5 linked regions of the Macaca fascicularis genome follow. The protein of the gene in region 1 purifies or fractionates together with the protein of each later gene. This does not show direct contact. Links are inferred from orthologs where the notes say so. Each region holds a gene or a part of one and is shown on either strand. Other genes may lie near its edges.

Region 1 (3,860 bases):
TTCCTGACTTTCGAGGAAAAGAATCTGAAGTGAACATGTGTTTAAAAGTTAAGGTCTGAATCAGATGTTGAACACAGAAGTCCTATTAGAGAAGCACATGGAAGACTTAGAAGAGCTGGCAATATCACAATGCCCTGGCATACACATAGGAACTCTGGGCATAGGGGGAAGAATTCTGAAGGAATAGCATCAAGCTAAGCAAAAAATTCTGATTCTTCTATATGATGGGACAGCCTCTGGCACAGGGACTTTCAATTTTTGTTTCCACTGATCCAATTTAGATTGCTCAAAAAAAAAAAAAAAAAAAAAAAGCATAGAAGGCTTTTAAGAACACAAGCTTTTGTTAAGAGCTGTAACAAAAGTTTCTGATCCTTGGATTTAAAAAGAAAAATTACAGGTAAGCATGTCAATGAATTCAGTTCCATCTGTACTACTGAAAATTCACTAAAATGTAAAAGGCTTTTCCACAAAGACTGCAATATGCTGCAGAGGAAAAGTAACATGCAGTCAGTTATTTTGGTGTATGTGTGCATGAAAAAAAGGCAAAAGTACTGAAGCAAGAAGTGTGATCTGAAGATGACTTGCTATACAGGCTCTCAAGAAACACACACAGCCCACAGCAATGCTATAAGAGTTTCAAAAATAGTATGATGTAATTGCAATGACTGTTGTACATGCTCCATTTAAAACAATGCATAACACTGCAGTTCAATTACCTGTTTTTCACACACACGCTTTCTAACTGCCTTGCTTACTAGCTGCTGAAGGGTCTCACACACAATGCATTTTACTCAGGTTTGCCCTAAGTTCCAGTGGTGACTCCAGTTTGGTTCAACATAATCCCAAGGCATTGTCCCCCACCCAAATTATTTTCAATTTGTTTCAACTCTCCTTTACCTTCCCACCCTTTTCTAACCACAATTTGATAACAGACGTAAGTTTGTTTCATTCATATTGGGATGGAGACAAGCCAATGAAGGAAGCAGCAACCAAAAGGTGCCTGAATTTGACCTCCTTGGACAAGCCAACTGATAAATAGGAGAGCAAATTTTAGGTAGCTTCAGTGGTATGCCTTATTACAGAAAGTAGAAGTTAATACTTTGTTAAAAGTAATTCATGTTGCTTAGCAACAATTATAGCAAGCTTGGCTCTCGTGATTAAAAAGGTTTTGATTCCTCTTAAAAATGGACTAGCACCATAAGAACTGGACACCTGGAGAAACATGAGGAAAGTCTCTTCGGAAGCAGCTAGTATCTCTTGTATCTACTTTCAGCAAAAAATTAGTAAGAATCAAGAGATCAGAAACTGGATCACAGTCCTTCAATACCAAAAAAAAAAAAACCCCAAAAAGCCTTTTAGGGCATGTATATACATATATAAATTCAACAACTGTCAGGCAAGCTCACAAAGTAAAACCAGAGGCTGTTTTAATTTACTTCAAGTATTATGATAGTCCTATTAGGGTCCAGATACCCTGACAGGGAAGAGAAATTTCCTGTTACTTTGGAATTAATATGGAAACTCACCATACTCAGTTTTTCATAATATATTTAAGAGAGACTGTGAACCAACTACTGATTAGCCTCCTGCCCTTCCTAAAGCCTATTAGCCGATTAGTAGCAAACGTCTACTAATGTCCTACAGTTCTATTAAAGTTATGTTTCAAGGGACTTGCAGAGGCTTTAGTGAAAATTTATTGGGGGGAAAAAGCAGCAGCAGCAGTGTAGAAAAGGAAGGAAAAAAATCATGCAAATTCCTTAGACTTAGTTCTCCAGACTTAAAGATGGAAAAGAATCAACTTTCACCTTTTCCTTTATTGCATCAACCTGCAAAGGAATTCAGAAGGTGCAGCTTAGAAAAAAAATCAAATTCCATATTGAGCATAAAAAGGTAGAATCAGCAACAAAGGTTTAGGGAAGAAACATCTAACCACTAAAAAGGTATGAGAGAAGTGAAAATAAAGGGCATACTGGAAGCAAAATTTAGATTTTTCTGTAACTTCAAAGCTTACTGCAGAAGAATTTATGCTACAGTATGAAAGAAAGCAGCTTAATCACTAGTAAAATTTACAGCACTTAGGTTAACAGCAGCTTAGAGACAGGTCTCACAAGTTGGCATTATGTTTAAGAAGCTATTCTCATCTATGGCTAAAACATGTTGGCTAAGACAAGGCAACATGTTTTTTCTTACATTGAATACAGAAAATGTTAATTCTTTAAAAACTTGAAACAGACACAATGGTATCTAATTAAATGATATCCTGAGGAAAAATTCAGTGTAGTAGGGGTTGTTGGTAGTGCTCCCACTCCCCCTACCCCCGCCTTAACTCAGGCAGGCTGAAGGAATCAGTTGGGAGAGTCTGATTTTAATCATGTTTTTTGCTTTGACAAAAAGGATCCTCTAAAACCATTTAAAAATGTTCTAGAGAGAGAAAGCTAGTAACTGCTGAAGACAGAGTGAGTAAATTCTTATATCAAAAAGGGACACTAAGATGAATAGTGAATTTTACAAGGCAATTAGACCCCCAGCTTGTTTATGTGTTCACCTCCTATGATATTTTTAAATCAGGGGTTAAACTATCAAAAAAAATTGTGAAGATTAAAAGGATGTTAAGAATATACATGCAGCTTCCCCAGGGGAAACAGGCATAGACATCACTAAAGTCAGGAGCCAACCAAATAAAAGGGAATCTACAATACTAGTTATGATTATTTGAGTTACAAGAACTGAGTTTGAGAAAAATGCGACTTTGAAATAAAATTTATCGAATAGTTTTTAAAATAAAAAAACAAAATATAGATTATTTTCACAATCATAAATACACTGAGGGTAAACAGCTACATTTGAGTTCCCCTTCCAAACAGTGTCATTTATCAGCTATTAAAAATTTTTCAAAAGAACAGGAATATTTTATGATCGACTAAATGACTTCTACTAAATAAAAAAAATTAAAAAAATTAATGTGCATGTAGAATTTTACATATCTGCAAGAAAACTACTTCTGAATACACTTAGAAGAGTCATTACCTTTGTCAAGTATTCCTTCATGACCTGGATGAAATAGGGCATGGCAAAATCCATGATATTGTGCCTCCATGCAGTTTCTAGGACAACATCTGGCCTTAAAAGATCGTAACAGGTAAACAGACAAGCTCCAAAGCACTCTCTTTTTTCTTCCTGCAAAAACCACTGCAGGAGTTCTTCAGCCAACTCAGTATCTTTAGATTCAGAAGCATACTGCATTGCATCCTATTCAAAGAAAATAGTGAAAGTCAAAAAACATTAGACCCAACATACTAAACTAGTAAACCAAGAAAAACAATGGAACCTTTCCAATATAAATCTGGTTTTGCAAGGGGGAAAAAAGCCTCCTAGTTGTATCATTTAAATTAAAATTTTCAAAGAACAGATAAGCTAAAGGCCTTTTTTTCCCCCCAAACAAGTTTGACCTTAACATAAGAGAGCCCCTAGAATCAAGAAATCCATTAACTTAAATTGCCTTAAAGTCAGTTCTCATATTCACAAAACCAATACTTTTATTTATAGAAATCACTTGTAACATCATTTTAGGCCTGGTTTAACAGCCCCCGCCCCGCAACTTTATCAACCTTGTAAAGGCTGTCTTTCTTGCACAGCTCTACACTCTGTTTCCAGCGATTGTTGCCTTTGAAGAGATAAGCAGCAATTCTCCTGAACTCAATGAGTTCATGTTTTTCCAAACGCTGAGCAAGCGAGATATTGTCAAAGTTGTCATAAGCATCTATTGATGTTCGCAGAGCCTTAAAAAAAAAAAAGCCATCCAAATGCCAGATCAGTATTTTGTTTAACATTATATTCCGTCCTCGATCAATGAGCCCCTT
Region 2 (3,860 bases), on another chromosome or scaffold:
TAGTAGCAGGTGAAAGTGGGCCAAAAGACAAACTGAAGGGAAAGAGTTCCAGCCATATCAAACCACACAGTCAAAGACACAGAGGTTAGAAAGGGTCAGTGTGTTAAGGAAACGTGGAGTGGACCAGATGAAATGTGAAAATGCTTTGAAAATTTATACTGATGTAAAGTAATATTATTATTATACTATTTTTTTTTTTCAAATCTAGCCCATCAGTTACTAACAGGATTGTCAAATTGTGTTTTAAAAACAAGGCTTGCCCAACGGTCTATTTTAGAGATGGGGTGGGGAAGAAACGAAAGACTGAAAACCGGCTGTGGGGCTACAGGGAAAGGTTTCTTTACCACTAAAATGAAAGCAGAGCCTCTATTCTCCTGCTGCACAGTGTTATCTGGCTGTGACACATGAAGTCAACTCACAACCAGTTAGAGGGTGCTGTCAATGCACAGAGTACAGCAGAACCAAGAGAATCACAGAAAAGCAGGGCAGACCCTGACAAACTTGCCTGGAGCCTGGCCTAACTATGGACTTCCTCAGGTGAATAAATCTCTTTGCTGACTAGGCAATTAAGTTTCCCCCTTAACCAATTCACATGCTAACTATTTAAGTAGGAAAACATCCTTCAAAATAAATAGAAGAGATTATAGAAAACTTCCAACAAAGATAACTTTGATGTCTTGGTAGGAAAAAATAACTTCCAAGCAGTAATAGAGAAGTAACCTTCTCTCAAACACCAGTTTCAAGTCATATAACAAGTCATGTCAATTACAAAGCACAGAAAAAGTACTGAACCCATTCACTTTATCTTCCCATATTTTTCAAAGATGGAGTTAAAAAACACATACCTATACAGTCCTGATTATCCACATAATGTACTTCATTAACACCTAAACCTTCTTTTTGATAGAGTTCTTGTTCCTAAAAATGCAATAATCATAATCATAGATATGGAAATACAGAGCAATAGTAAATTTTGTGCTGTTTCTGAACATAACATTTACTAATTAGAATGCAAAGGTTTATACAAACTGGTATAGCCTTAAATGTTTTCCAAAAACATACCAGATTTTGAACATTTGCAGACAGGCACTAAAGGCAAGGAAATAGCAATTAACTGCAAATGGACTCTAATATCAATACAGTGATATATACGAGGCATACATCACTTGGGGAAAATAAGCGTAATTTGGAAGAACAATATATGGTCAAATTTGAGTCCTCAACCATGTCTTGTGTCTTCTTAAAATTTTTAAAGAGATTTTATCATAGATGGGTAAACTATGCAATGAATTTAAGTAAATATGTTTTAATGTTGTTTCCTGAATGTTTAAATATTTCCTCTCATGAGAGATACTAGAAAAGGTTTCCAACATTCTAGAAGGCACTGTCCACTTTAACACATCTCAATTTGAAATTCACATTTATTTTAAAGGATATTAAAAAGGTGAACATAAATCAAAATACAGTCTCCTTTTTATAATGTTTCTAGATAAAGTTTTTCGGTAGGTTGGTGTAGAAGGGAAGGATTAGCTTACGTTAAATTACAGGCATGAAGGTAAAACTTCGCATAGTAATAGAACTAATGTGACTGGATAAACATTTTCAGAGAAATTACCTTACTGGTAAATACTTGTTTTACCTGTTTGTTTATGCCAGAATTTATTTAACTATAGAATGTAAGTAAAATGTACAAAAGCTAGAATGTGCTGGGAAGCCCGTAAAAACATAAACATAATAAAAATGTGGGAAAGATAGAAAGGATGGGAATAGGAAATAAAATACTGCACATTCCAGCCCAGATACAGTAGAAGCAGCTGACAGTCCACAAGGTGGCGTGACAAGGAAAGTACTGCCCAGAGGCACTCCAGGACAATCGACGCATCAAATCTGCTGACTTGGTGGCTTTGCTGCCAGACAGAGAAAGGTGAGCAGGCAGCAGAGTAGGCAGAAGCAGAGAGACCTGAAGAAGGGGAGGTACAGTAGGGCATGGTGACTCACGCCTTTAATCCCAACACTTTGAGAGGCTGAGGCAGGCAGATCACCTGAGGTCAGGAGTTCAAGGCCAGCCTGGCCAACATGGTGAAACACCATCTCTACTAAAAATATAAAAATTAGCTGGCCATGGTGGCACGTGCCTGTAGTCCCAGCTACTCAGGAGACTGAGGGAGGAGAATCACCTGAACCCAAGAGGCAGAGGTTGCAGTGAGCCCAGATCGCACCACTGCACTTCAGCCTGGGCAAGACTTCATCTAAAAAACAAACAAACAAACAAAAAACAGAATGAGAGATGCCAAAGGCAGGGATGAGGGTAGAAAGTTGTTTGGTGTGGTAGAAGTAGAGACAACAGACCAGGCGCGGTGGCTCACACCTGTAAGCCCAGCATTTGGGAGGCTGAGGCAGGCGGATTACTTGAGGCCAGGAGTTCGAGACTAGCCTGGCTAAAATTGTGAAACCCCGTCTCTACTAAACATACAAAAATCTGTTGGGTGTGGTAGCCCGCGCCTGTGGTCCCAGCTACTGGAGAGGCTGAGGCAGGAGAATCGCTTGAACCCGGGAGACGGAGGCTGCAGTGAGCCAAGATCACACCACTGCACTCCAGCCTGAGCAACAGAGCGAGACTGTTTCAAAATAAAAATAAAAATAAAAATAAATTTAAAAATAAATTTAACAAAAAAGTAGAGACAACAAAATCATAAAAAGAAACAGAGCTTCAAGTCTATTAAAAGTCACTAATAAAAATAGATGTTCACTTCTGAGGAAGCCCCCATTAAGAGTTTTTATCAGGTCCCTAAACTTCAGCTGAACCATTAACACTTTTGATGTGCTTGAGCCCCGGGGCCTCTGCCGGGCTTCAGTCACCTTCCATTATACAACATCCATCCCCACCAATCAGGGTAACTGCAGCATATCTCTTCCTTGAAATTTAAAACAGCTTTATGCAGATCTTAAATTTAAGTTATAAGGGCAATTACCTCCTTCAGAATCCTTTCATTAAAAAATTGTTGAAGTTTTTCATTGCAATAGTTGATGCAAAATTGTTCATAACTGTTATGCTCAAAGTACTCTGAAAATATAAAACCAGAACCAAGAGTCATTATGAGATCAACTTCATATAAATTTATCGTAGAATAAAATGTAATTGTAATAATGGCCTAATTTAAAATTAGGTTAAAAATATATATATACACATGTATATATATATATTTGTTCTATACTTCTCAAATGTTCTCATTTCAAGACAAAACTTTATAGGCATTAAAAGTATTAAAAATACCCTGCTTCAGTTGACAAGGTGTTTCTCAAATGAGATAAATGCTGTATACTAAAAGATATAAAATGTAAGTCACTTGTAACTATTTATTTATTTATTTTTGAGACAGATTCCCTGTCACACAGGCTGGAGGGCAGTGGTACAATCTTGGCTCACTGCAACCTCCACCTCCCGGGTTCAAGTGATTCTCTTGCCTCAGCCTCCCGAGTAGCTGGAATTACAGACATGCGCCACCACATCCAGCTAATTTGTGTATTTTTAGTAGAGACAGGGTTTCACCATGTTACACAGGCTGGTCTTGAACTCCTGACCTCAAGTGATCTGCCGGCCTCAGCCTCCCAAAGTGCTGGGATTACAGGCATGAGCCACTGCACCTGGTCAACAATTCTTTAAAGCACAGATATTAAAGCAATCTGAATTAAGCACAAAAATAACTTAAAATACAAGTGCTTTTGAAGATTTTTTTCTGCATAATCTATAAAATTACTTATCAAAAATGCTGTGGATACGAATTCATTTCTAAAATTAAGAGATTATATTACATGATGTCTAAGATACATTAGGCTTTACAATTTTATAATCCTTTGTG
Region 3 (3,204 bases), on another chromosome or scaffold:
TTACAGACAGTCTACCTGGGGAAGAACAGTGAGGCCCAGCCTGCCCGCCAGATCCTGGTGCTGGACAACGCTGCCATTGTCTGCAACTTTGGCAGTGAGCTCAGCCTGGTGTATGTGCCCTCCGTGCTGGAGAAGCTGGACTGAGCATGGGGCCTCCCTGCCCAGGCAGGGGTCTGGGGTGCTGTGTGGGGGCCAATGCACTGAACCTGGACTTGGGGGAAAGAGCCGAGTATCTTCCAGCCGCTGCCTCCTGACTGTAATATTAAACTTTTTTAAAAAACCACATCTGTCAGGCACTTTGGGAGCTACTTGTCTCTCTCGGAATTGTTTGTGCACACACTCTGCCTGGACCCTCCTCAGAGCTGCTGAGGAAACATACAGCATGGCACAGGTAGCAAAGCGGGGAGGATGAGCAAGCCAGAACTGCAGGACCCTTAAAGAACTGTCCTGGTAGTATAACAGTTTGGTACCATCCTGTTATCCACGAAAGGTGCTAAGTTCCTGCCAGTGCTACTGGAGCTGAGGCAGCAATGGGCAGACTCAGACATGGGCCACAGAACAGGGTGGTTTATTATTTCAATAGCAAAGAGCTGAAAAATGTCAGGTCTCATAAAGGAGCAGAACCTGACCCAGAGCCTGCAGTACATCTCCACCCCACAGGGGTGCAGACTGGGCCAGGCAGGCCAAAGGCAGCAGAAATGGGAGTAAGAGACTGTGCCCACTGAGAAGCTCTGCTGGGTGTGGGCAGGTGGGCATGAGAGATGTAGTGTAAGGACCAGGTAGGCGAAACCTGTTCAGGTCTTGTTGAGTGTCCACAGTGGATCCAGAAGGCTGAGGGGGTCGTCAGAGGGCTGGGTGGCCCGTAGCCCTTGCCCGTTATGGGCCTGCAGAAAGTTCTGCTTGCTCATCCGCTGCTTGCCCCGCAGGGAGCTATCCAGGGAGAAGGCCTCTGGGGTCAAGGAGGCCAGCAGCTCCAGGGAGGAGGAGGGGGGCCCCGAGCTGGGGGCTTCAGGCACTGGCGGCTCCTCCTTAGGCTGGGGAGCCTCAGGCAGCGGGGAGGAAAGGGGGGGCGGGGAGGAAGATGGGATTGGGGTAGACTCTGGGAGGCTGGCTGGCGGGAGGCCTGGGGGCTCTGCAGGGCCTGGCAAGCTGGCAACTGGGGACTCCAATCCCCCAGGAGGCCGGATGCTGAGCTTGGCAATGGTGGCCTGGATGGAGCTGATGGGCACATCCCCACCGAGGACCAGGTCCTGGGAGTCCTGAGGAAGGTGGTTCTGAGAAGACAGAGTGGGTGAGGAGAGGGAGTCCCAAGGTTGTGGCTGTCCCAGCAGCTTCCAGGGAACCTTCCTCACCTTCTGGCTGATGCTTGCGCTGGCCAAGGGTTTGCATGGAGGGGGCACACCATGGCGCTGCAGGACCTGCTCCACGTGTCTCACCACTGCCTCATAGCAGAACCGGAGGTGCAGCTGCACAGGTGCATTTGGCCAGGTCAGCCAGGCAGGGGCCCGTCACCCGGAGACAGAAGGCCCATCCCAGCCCCACCTGCCCAGATCCTCACCTTCTCCTGCAGCATGTGCTTCCTCTGCTGCCGCATGCGTCGCACCAGTTGAGGCAGCTCAGGGATTCCATTCCCAGCCTCCACCTCCTGCACAGCTGCGTAGAGCAGCGCAAAGGCTCCCGTGCGGCCCACACCAGAGCTGTGCCAAGAAGGGGGCATGAGGCTGGGGAATGAGGCCAGGCCAAGAGCCCGCATAGAGACTGTCAGGCCCACCCTCTACCTGCAGTGCACAACGATGGGCGTGTGCAGCGGCCGCTGATGCAGGTAATGTGCGTGCACCTCCTGGATGAAGTGCAGCAAGTTGCTGGGGCTGTCGGGCAGGCCTCTGTGGGACAGGATGGGGTGGGGAAGAGCCTATGAGCCAGACCTGATCTCAGGCTCTCATCCCTCCCAGCACCAAGGACTGGACAGCACCCCAGACCCCCAGCCACCATCCAGAGCAGTGGACGCACAACTCAGGCCAAGTGGGGAAGTGGAGGTGCACGAGAGAGCGCTTGAGGCTCTGGTCTCGGAACTGCAGGCTCAGCACACGTTCCACATGCGTTTCAGTGCTGCGGACGCTGCTCAATGCCAGGCTCAGGGCACCGTGCACCATGGGCTGGCCCCTCTCGGTGGGGAAGTAGCGTGCCACTTTTTGCTGAGGGACAGACAAACCAAAGCAGGGCTGGTTTTCCAGGATCCCCTGCCCTGCCACCCCACACTGCCCTCGTGGGCACCCAGCCCCTCTCACCTTCTCCATCTCAGCCTCAGAAACCAGCATGACAATGACTGACACTTTCTGCTCATGGACCATGAGCCAGAAGTCAGCAGCTGTGCCGGGCAGTGGGGCCTGGGTGGCCACTAGTGGCGGGCAGTATGGGGAGAGCCCCTCCACGCAGCTGGCATTGATGTAGTCATCCTTGCCTGAGCGCAGTACCACACGGTTACTGTCGTACGGCATGACATCCTGGTACCGGTTTTTCAGTGAGTAGCAGCGGGCGATGGCGATGGAACGGCCTCGGGCATCATGTTCCTGTGCATCTTGCAGTTCCCGCCAGACAGTGTCCAGAGCCCCCACATCCCCCAGCTGGCCCCGAAAGGCCTCCAGCTCCTGCTGCAACTGCCGCAGCCTCTCAGGATGCTCATAGGGGTCCCGCTCAATCAGCCGCAGGGCCTGCGGCCGACGGCCCTCAGCTGCGTCCACCTTGGTGGGCTGCAGCAGGGGCTGCCCACCCCCAGGAGGCTGAGTGCTGCCATGCTGGCTCTCCGGGCTGGAGGAGAGCAGGTCTGCAGCTGCAGCGCCTCGGCGCAGGCAAGGGGGTGGTTCTGCTGCTGGGGGCCGAGGGGGCACAGAACCGGGCCCTGGAGATGGAGCAGGTGAAGGCACTAGGTGGGGACTGGGGGTGGGCTGGCCAGCAGGCGAGGGCCCTCGGATGGTAAGAGGGGCTGCCTGGGGGCCCACGGGTCTGGCAGAAGGGGCAGGACCATATGCCAGGGGGGGATGGGGAGGCTGAGGGGGCCCAGGGCTGGGGAAAGGCAGAGCCCCTGAGTGGGCTGGCAGAGGGTCTTGAGCAGGACCTGGGTAGAGCTGGGTGTGCAGGGGGGTTGGCGGCTGCCCCAGAACCCCAGGCTGAGGGGCATAGGAGTAGGGGGACTGTGGGGGTAGG
Region 4 (2,768 bases), on another chromosome or scaffold:
TGGGGTCATTTGCTTTTCCCTCAGGCAGAAGAGTCCAGAGCAGAGGAGGTTGTCTCCAATGGGTGTCTATAATTGTTCTTCTGCGGTCTCGCATGTCAGAAATTGCTATTTAGTGGTCAGCTTCTGATGTCCTGTCTCCTAGCACAGGGAAGCCCCCAGCTTTGAGATCAGGATAGGTTAGTTGAAGTGTCTGATATGGGCCACTTGGGCTTCTCCCCCAGACCCCTCAAAAGAAACCTGCATCTTCGCTGGAGAAGGTGTTTTTCTTTTTTTTTTTTTTTTTTTAAAACGATTCCTGTTATCAAAGCAGTGTTGCTGAAGAGCTAGAAACAGTTCTCATTGTCTCCTCCTTAAAAATTAGGGCTGGCTTTACAAGAGAAGTAAGGGTGGAATGGAAGAGGAGAGGAACCTGTAAAAGGTGGACGATGAGCTCAGGTCTGTAGAGCCTCTCAGGGCCTATGACCTTGAGATGTTCATCCCCTTAGAAGACAGAACTGGGTTTCCTGGGCCCCCAGATGCATTTGCAGTGAGACTTGTGAAATGCTGGACTTACAGGTGGTGTTTGATTTGATTTCTGCACATTCTCTCTGGAGTAGAAATGGAGACTTGGAAAGGTCGAGTCTGGTTTTGCTGGGCAGCTGGGTGGCCAGCAAAGCCAGCTGCACGTCCCTAAGCACAGATAGAGTGGCAAGGGCATGTCCAGCTTACTGACCATCTGCATTGAGCTCATTCTCATTTTCTATATCTGACTTAAAGTTTCTCTCGTTTCTTTTCTTCTCTTCACCTTTAAGCACAAACATAAACCATCCTTGCTACAGCCTAGAACAGTTAAGTAAACCTTTCTCACTGCCCCTAACTGTGTGTGCCATGAAGTCGCAGTGTTGTAGTGGCTCTGGGCTTCAGCGGTGTTTGCCACGGCCATCCCTGTGATAGTGCCACCCCTCCGTCCCTACAGACCAGTCATCTCCATTGCTTTTGCTTTGCCCGTGATGCTTGTTGGAGTAGATGAATATAGTGTGTCTTACTGCTGTCCTTTCCGGCTGTAGCTCCCACCAGTTAATTCCGAACTGGGGGTGGGCTGACCTTGATGTGAAAGAATGTTGGAGCAGCATCCTGCCAAAAAGCAACTCACGTTGGCTCTCCTGCCAGTGTGCCCTGAGTGGCCCCAAGGCACCTGGCTGGAGGGAAAATGGCAAACTTTTGGCTGACTGGAGAATGTCCTAACAAACCCCCTTCCAGAATGGCTTTAGTCTCTAGTGCCTGCTAGCATGGGAGCTTTGTCTTGAATTCCTTTTGATCTGCCCCGTTTCTCTCCAGCCTTAGGAATAAATCTAGAGGCTATTGTGCAATGATCTGTGGGCTTTTAGAAGTCTCTAAATTTCCTTGAAATTCAGTACAGCCCAGCATAAACTACTCAAGTTCTTGACCAGCCTGCTGCTTTGTTCTTGTTAATAAAAGCAGTGTGTAGCTGGCTAAGGACTTGTTTTATTAATGCTCCACAGGAGCAGAGACAGCCAGACAGAGAGACGTAGTGAGCCCTGAACCAAACACCTGTATTCCAACATTTTACACAGTGGTCTGGGCACGCTGTGCCTAGGAGAGCCAGCGACGTGTCTACCTGAGTCTGACCTGGGCCAGGGACTGTTATCTTGGGAAAGCCAGAATGCCATTAAGAAAGGGACAAACAGGCAGTTGCTTGTGTAGCAAGGCAGCCACCAGGTTGCTCAAAGGGGGTTCTACATAAACCAACATATTTTGTTGTTGCTTCCAGGGCAGCAGAAGAAGCCTTTGTAAATGACATTGACGAGTCATCCCCAGGCACTGAGTGGGAACGGGTGGCCCGGCTGTGTGACTTTAACCCCAAGTCTAGCAAGCAGGCCAAAGACGTCTCCCGCATGCGTTCAGTCCTCATCTCCCTCAAGCAGGCCCCGCTGGTGCACTGAAGAGCCACCCTGTGGAAACACTACATCTGCAATATAATCCTACTCAGTGAAGCTCTTCACAGTCATTGGATTAATTATGTTGAGTTCTTTTGGACCAAACCTTTTTGTCTTTAGAGTTGATCATTGTTTGTGATTGCATGTTTCCTTCAACTGTGTTCTCCCTGGCATTCAGAGAGGAGGGGGAGGAGCAAGAGGAAGGGGAGGGAAGCCTCCCAACAGTAGCCTCAACCTGTGCTTTTGTGCATTATTCTGAGAATAAATTTCTGTTTCAAACTGTATTATGTGAAGCTTCTTTATTGACCTCAAGATGTGTTGTAGTTTGGAGTGAGGTTGGAAGGGTTGAGGAATTTCCTTGAAATTTGTAGGGCTGAGGAGGCACAGCCACTGGGCACACAGCCCTGCCTTGAACTGAGATAGCGCCAGGATCTAGAGTGGGATTCTGTGGACATTTTCATTTGAGAAGGGAGTTTAATGGCTGAGGGGGTTATAGCGCCGGGATCTAGAGTGGGATTCTGTGGACATTTTCATTTGAGAAGGGAGTTTAATGGCTGAGGGGGTTATAGCGCCGGGATCTAGAGTGGGATTCTGTGGACATTTTCATTTGAGAAGGGAGTTTAATGGCTGAGGGGGTTATAGCGCCGGGATCTAGAGTGGGATTCTGTGGACATTTTCATTTGAGAAGGGAGTTTAATGGCTGAGGGGGTTATAGCGCCGGGATCTAGAGTGGGATTCTGTGGACATTTTCATTTGAGAAGGGAGTTTAATGGCTGAAGGTTAACCCCCTCATTATCTACCTAAGACACAGCTGTGAATCCTCTCACCAAC
Region 5 (3,730 bases), on another chromosome or scaffold:
CTGCCTCAGGCACCTCTTGCTTGTTTCATCAGCTGTGCCTTTGCCCTGCTTTTCAATAACAATCTTGTCATTCATCCCAAACTTGCATTCAGGCATGCCACTCAGGTAGCTCTTCATCACCACCCGGCCCGACACATGGGCACTCAGCACCTGCCCTGATGATGGAACAGATAAATGGGGAGCAGCAGAGTCAGGCAGGCAGACCCAGGATCCTGCCCTGGTCCCCCTCCAGCTTTGTTGTGAGAGGGACCTCACCTTGTGGGGACATGAGCAGGTTCACACTCTCCAGCACATCCAGGAAGAGCTCATTCCGGCGATACTTGATACCCTCTCGCCGCCAGCCAATCTGCCCAGTCACCTGGCTGGTGATCTGTGACTGCTCTTCTTTTGTCTACATGGGAGCAGAAACAAACAGCAAGAGCCTCACTCCCCTCTCCCTTTAATCATCCTGTCTCTATCCCCACTCCACCCTCATTCCCCATCCCTTCTAGTCCCCACCTGTAATCCATTTTCCCCTATAAGCCCCAAAGGGCAGGGCCTGGAGAAACAAAGCAAAGCTGCAAGGGCGGAAGCTAAGGGAAGGGCTTACCTGATGCTGGAGGCCGCAGGGCCAACGAGGTGCCCACATGAAGTAGCAAGGGAGGCAGAAAAGGAGGAGAAAGCTATGAGGCTTGGATCCTATAGGAGAGGGCCCAAGCTCTCTCCTCCTGAGGAACACCAGGCCTCAAGACCAGGCCTCCTCCCCCAACCCTCAGTGCAAAAGGAAACTGCTTGAGCTGTATTCCTGGTAACAGAGATGCTGAATTGGCTGCTCCTGCAGTGGGAGGACCACATAGAGCAAAATAGGCCTGCAATCATGGCAGGAGGCTCAGGCCAGCACTTCCTGTTATGGGAGGGCTTATGAGTCAGCTCAGACAAGGCTCAGGGGCCAGCTGAGATGAAGGGAGATTGGCCTGCACCCTGACTATAGTCTGCACAATTCAAGTACCTGACTCTTGATGCCCTGCTGCGTGATGAAGGTTTTCAGCGCGCCTGTCTCGGAATTCTGTGGATAGCCAAAGTCTAGAATCTCTGAAAAAGAAGGGAACCATCAGCCCCTGAACAAACCTTCTCATTCCAGTCCCTACTTGGGCCTACACATGTCTGACTGGCACAGCTCCCAAAGACCATGTGGGATCATCTGCAACAAAGTCTTCTAGCTTTGTAGCATTTATTCTGTGATTTGTGCTTTACAGGAAAACAATTCAAATGTTTGATTTTTTCAAATAGAGAAATCAAGGCCAGGCGCAGTGGCTTATGCCTATAATCCCAACACTTTGGGAGGCCAAGGTGGGAGAATCACTTCAGCCCAGGAGTTCAAGACCAGCCTGGGCAACATAGCGAGACCCAGCTCTACAAAAAATAGTAAAAATGAGCCAAGCATGGTGGCATGTGCCTGTGGTCCCAGCTACTCAGGAGGCTAAGGCTGGAGGATTGCTTGAGCCTGGGAGGTCAAGGCTTCAGTGAGCTGCGATTACACCACTGCACTCAGCATAGGCGACAACAGTAAGACCCTGTCTCAAAAAAAAAAAAAAAAAAAAAAGAAATCAATAGAAGAGTCACATGGCCAGTGGGTGGCAAATCAAGAAGCTTTGAGCTGTTTTCTCCAGAAAATAGACAATGGGAAGGTGGAAGGATTCACCTTCCCTTAGATCACACTCTACAGAGAAACAGAGGTAACAGTGCACCCCCAGAGGCTTGTAGTATCTCAGTCTCCCCCAGGCTCTGAAGCAGCTGCTGAGATGGAAAACTGGGTGGACAGTCAGTGAAGTAAGGTCCAAGCCACAAAGGAAAGAGGATGAATACAGGAGGCTCACCACCAAACCTGAGTCAGGTTCCTAGCCCCGTGGAAGACCAAAACTTCCCCTCCACACCTGCTGGCCTATTTCTGTGTTCTACTTCAGACCAGCCTTTAGGTTTGGATGTGAACTGGCCTTCTGAGGGGCATAGAGATCCTAGTCCAAGAGCCCAGATACTCAGGAAAGAAAGTTCAGAGTGTACCAGAGCCTCGGACCTACACCCACTTTCAGGCCAGGCCCAGCCTGGTTCTTTCCCACCCTAGGCCCCCTGCCCTGCCAGCCCACCAGCCTCACCATCCAGCAGCTCATATATGAGTACAAAATTGTTCTTGATGTTTTCCTCGCTGATCTTGCCAAAGTAGGCAGCCATCACGTCACACATCTTATAGAGGAATTCGAAGACCATGGCAGCGTTGACATTCTGCTTGGTGACTGCTGCCAGCCAAATGTTGGACCGCTTAACGTGGAAGAAGCTGGTGCGAGCAATGTTGGTGACGGGGCTGCGCACCTGCTGCCGGGCATGGATAACATTGACCCGAAAGGCATCCACTGCGTTCCTCCTGAGGGGAAAGGGTGCACAGGGCCTGCTCAGCACCCAGGCGAACCTTACCCCACAAGGATCAACCACAGCTGTTAACAGCTCCACCCACCTTTCTGCAGAAGTCTGACACACACAATCTAAAGAAAGCCAATGCCTAAACCACTGGGGTGGTTCCCTTCTTATGACTCCCTGTGGAGGCATGGGAAGAGTGCCTGAGCTGGGCTAGTGTCTAAAGGCCACAAGAAATAGGGAAGTCAACTATTAAGGCCGATGTAACCTTAATAAAGTGAGGTTCATCAGGTTTAGAGACAGATATTCTTGACTCCCAGGGCTGGCCCTAATTTCCCAGCTTTATCTAGCTTCCCTGTAAGCTCCCAGGTCCAGGACAGAAAGAGACACTGCTTCTCCAGTCCTCCCACTAGTGATCCCACCAGTGGGGAGGGCCGACTCCTCCAGATGTTATACAAAGCCAGCATGGCTTCAGAAGTCACAAAGGAGGAAGTACCAAGGGGCCATGGAACTGTGCTACCCATTCTTGCCCAGGATCCAACTCCAGAGCAAGTTCAGGGAATGAAAAAGGATGCAGGAAAACAATGATGGGGGCAGGGCCCCCACCCACCTGTACCTGGGCAGCAGCTTGAGAGGCCGCTTACCTATTGCTACGGCAGTCAATGAGATGGGATGAGAGAAATGACGCCAGCAAGAAGAGGAGAGTGACAGCAACGAGAGAGAGGGTTAGACACACAACACACCGGGAGGGCAGCACACACCGTGAGGTGGAAGCAGACAAGACAGGCAAGGTGGCGTGTGACCCAGCCTTGGCTTGCCTAGTCCATCCAACGCAGGAGGGGGGCCGGGGGTGGGGGTGGGGGGTGTAGCCAGCCAGATTCAGGCAGGCCAGACCTTGCCACAGCTGCAGCTCTAACTCATGCCACACCACCAGCCAATGGACAAACACCCGCAAGGGCCAGGCCAGCCCATCAGCCAGGGAGCCAAATGAGGAGCACTGCCACAGGCCCATTCTGTGACTTTATCTCAAGCTCTCTGAGGAAGAAAAACAGGCAGCAGGAACCAGAGGAGCCTAATCTCATTAGCGCCTCGGAGGCTAGGATAGGTCCAGCGTGTGCAAGGGGGTGCAGAATGAGAAGGCAGGCTGTGGCTCTGTGTGAAGGCCCAGGATATGGAGCCGCTCTGGGTCTACTCTGATAAACCAGAGAGGGTAGCATGGCCTCCCTGCCCTTTCTTAGTGACCCAGAGAGTGCCTCACGCTCCCTCCCAGCCTCTCCCCCAGGAATGGCCCAGAGGAACTGAAGACAGCTGAGTCAGCAGCCTGACTCCTGAGAAAGGGAGC

Evidence for each region. The genes of interacting proteins can lie anywhere in the genome.
Region 2: the proteins of CLTC (region 1) and MYO6 purify together in Homo sapiens (affinity purification with western blotting; 4 studies listed by BioGRID and IntAct, with this or other methods). This does not show direct contact. The link is inferred for Macaca fascicularis from reciprocal best matches to the Homo sapiens genes CLTC and MYO6.
Region 3: the proteins of CLTC (region 1) and PTPN23 purify together in Homo sapiens (affinity purification with mass spectrometry; 3 studies listed by BioGRID and IntAct, with this or other methods). This does not show direct contact. The link is inferred for Macaca fascicularis from reciprocal best matches to the Homo sapiens genes CLTC and PTPN23.
Region 4: the proteins of CLTC (region 1) and CLTA purify together in Homo sapiens (co-immunoprecipitation; 6 studies listed by BioGRID and IntAct, with this or other methods). This does not show direct contact. The link is inferred for Macaca fascicularis from reciprocal best matches to the Homo sapiens genes CLTC and CLTA.
Region 5: the proteins of CLTC (region 1) and AP2M1 purify together in Homo sapiens (affinity purification with mass spectrometry; 3 studies listed by BioGRID and IntAct, with this or other methods). This does not show direct contact. The link is inferred for Macaca fascicularis from reciprocal best matches to the Homo sapiens genes CLTC and AP2M1.

Annotation. Positions count from the first base shown.
Region 1 is NC_088390.1:47,021,149-47,025,008, forward strand, and holds part of CLTC (clathrin heavy chain 1), read right to left. Parts: intron 3,780-3,860; coding exon 3,609-3,779; intron 3,250-3,608; coding exon 3,028-3,249; intron 1,827-3,027; coding exon 1,806-1,826; intron 1-1,805. UniProt on the Homo sapiens protein: Clathrin is the major protein of the polyhedral coat of coated pits and vesicles. Two different adapter protein complexes link the clathrin lattice either to the plasma membrane or to the trans-Golgi network.
Region 2 is NC_088378.1:99,257,878-99,261,737, forward strand, and holds part of MYO6 (unconventional myosin-VI), read right to left. Parts: intron 3,065-3,860; coding exon 2,973-3,064; intron 919-2,972; coding exon 846-918; intron 1-845. UniProt on the Homo sapiens protein: Myosins are actin-based motor molecules with ATPase activity. Unconventional myosins serve in intracellular movements. Myosin 6 is a reverse-direction motor protein that moves towards the minus-end of actin filaments.
Region 3 is NC_088376.1:110,332,063-110,335,266, reverse strand, and holds the end of PTPN23 (tyrosine-protein phosphatase non-receptor type 23), read right to left. Parts: coding exon 2,289-3,204; intron 2,196-2,288; coding exon 2,011-2,195; intron 1,884-2,010; coding exon 1,779-1,883; intron 1,698-1,778; coding exon 1,559-1,697; intron 1,467-1,558; coding exon 1,353-1,466; intron 1,275-1,352; coding exon 795-1,274; 3' UTR 548-794; downstream 1-547. Other genes in the region: SCAP (sterol regulatory element-binding protein cleavage-activating protein), read left to right, coding at 1-144. UniProt on the Homo sapiens protein: Plays a role in sorting of endocytic ubiquitinated cargos into multivesicular bodies (MVBs) via its interaction with the ESCRT-I complex (endosomal sorting complex required for transport I), and possibly also other ESCRT complexes.
Region 4 is NC_088389.1:63,142,946-63,145,713, reverse strand, and holds the end of CLTA (clathrin light chain A), read left to right. Parts: intron 1-791; coding exon 792-827; intron 828-1,771; coding exon 1,772-1,943; 3' UTR 1,944-2,221; downstream 2,222-2,768. UniProt on the Homo sapiens protein: Clathrin is the major protein of the polyhedral coat of coated pits and vesicles.
Region 5 is NC_088376.1:96,096,800-96,100,529, reverse strand, and holds part of AP2M1 (AP-2 complex subunit mu), read right to left. Parts: intron 2,399-3,730; coding exon 2,133-2,398; intron 1,072-2,132; coding exon 989-1,071; exon of another isoform or gene 629-988; coding exon of another isoform or gene 590-628; intron 392-589; coding exon 256-391; intron 156-255; coding exon 14-155; intron 1-13.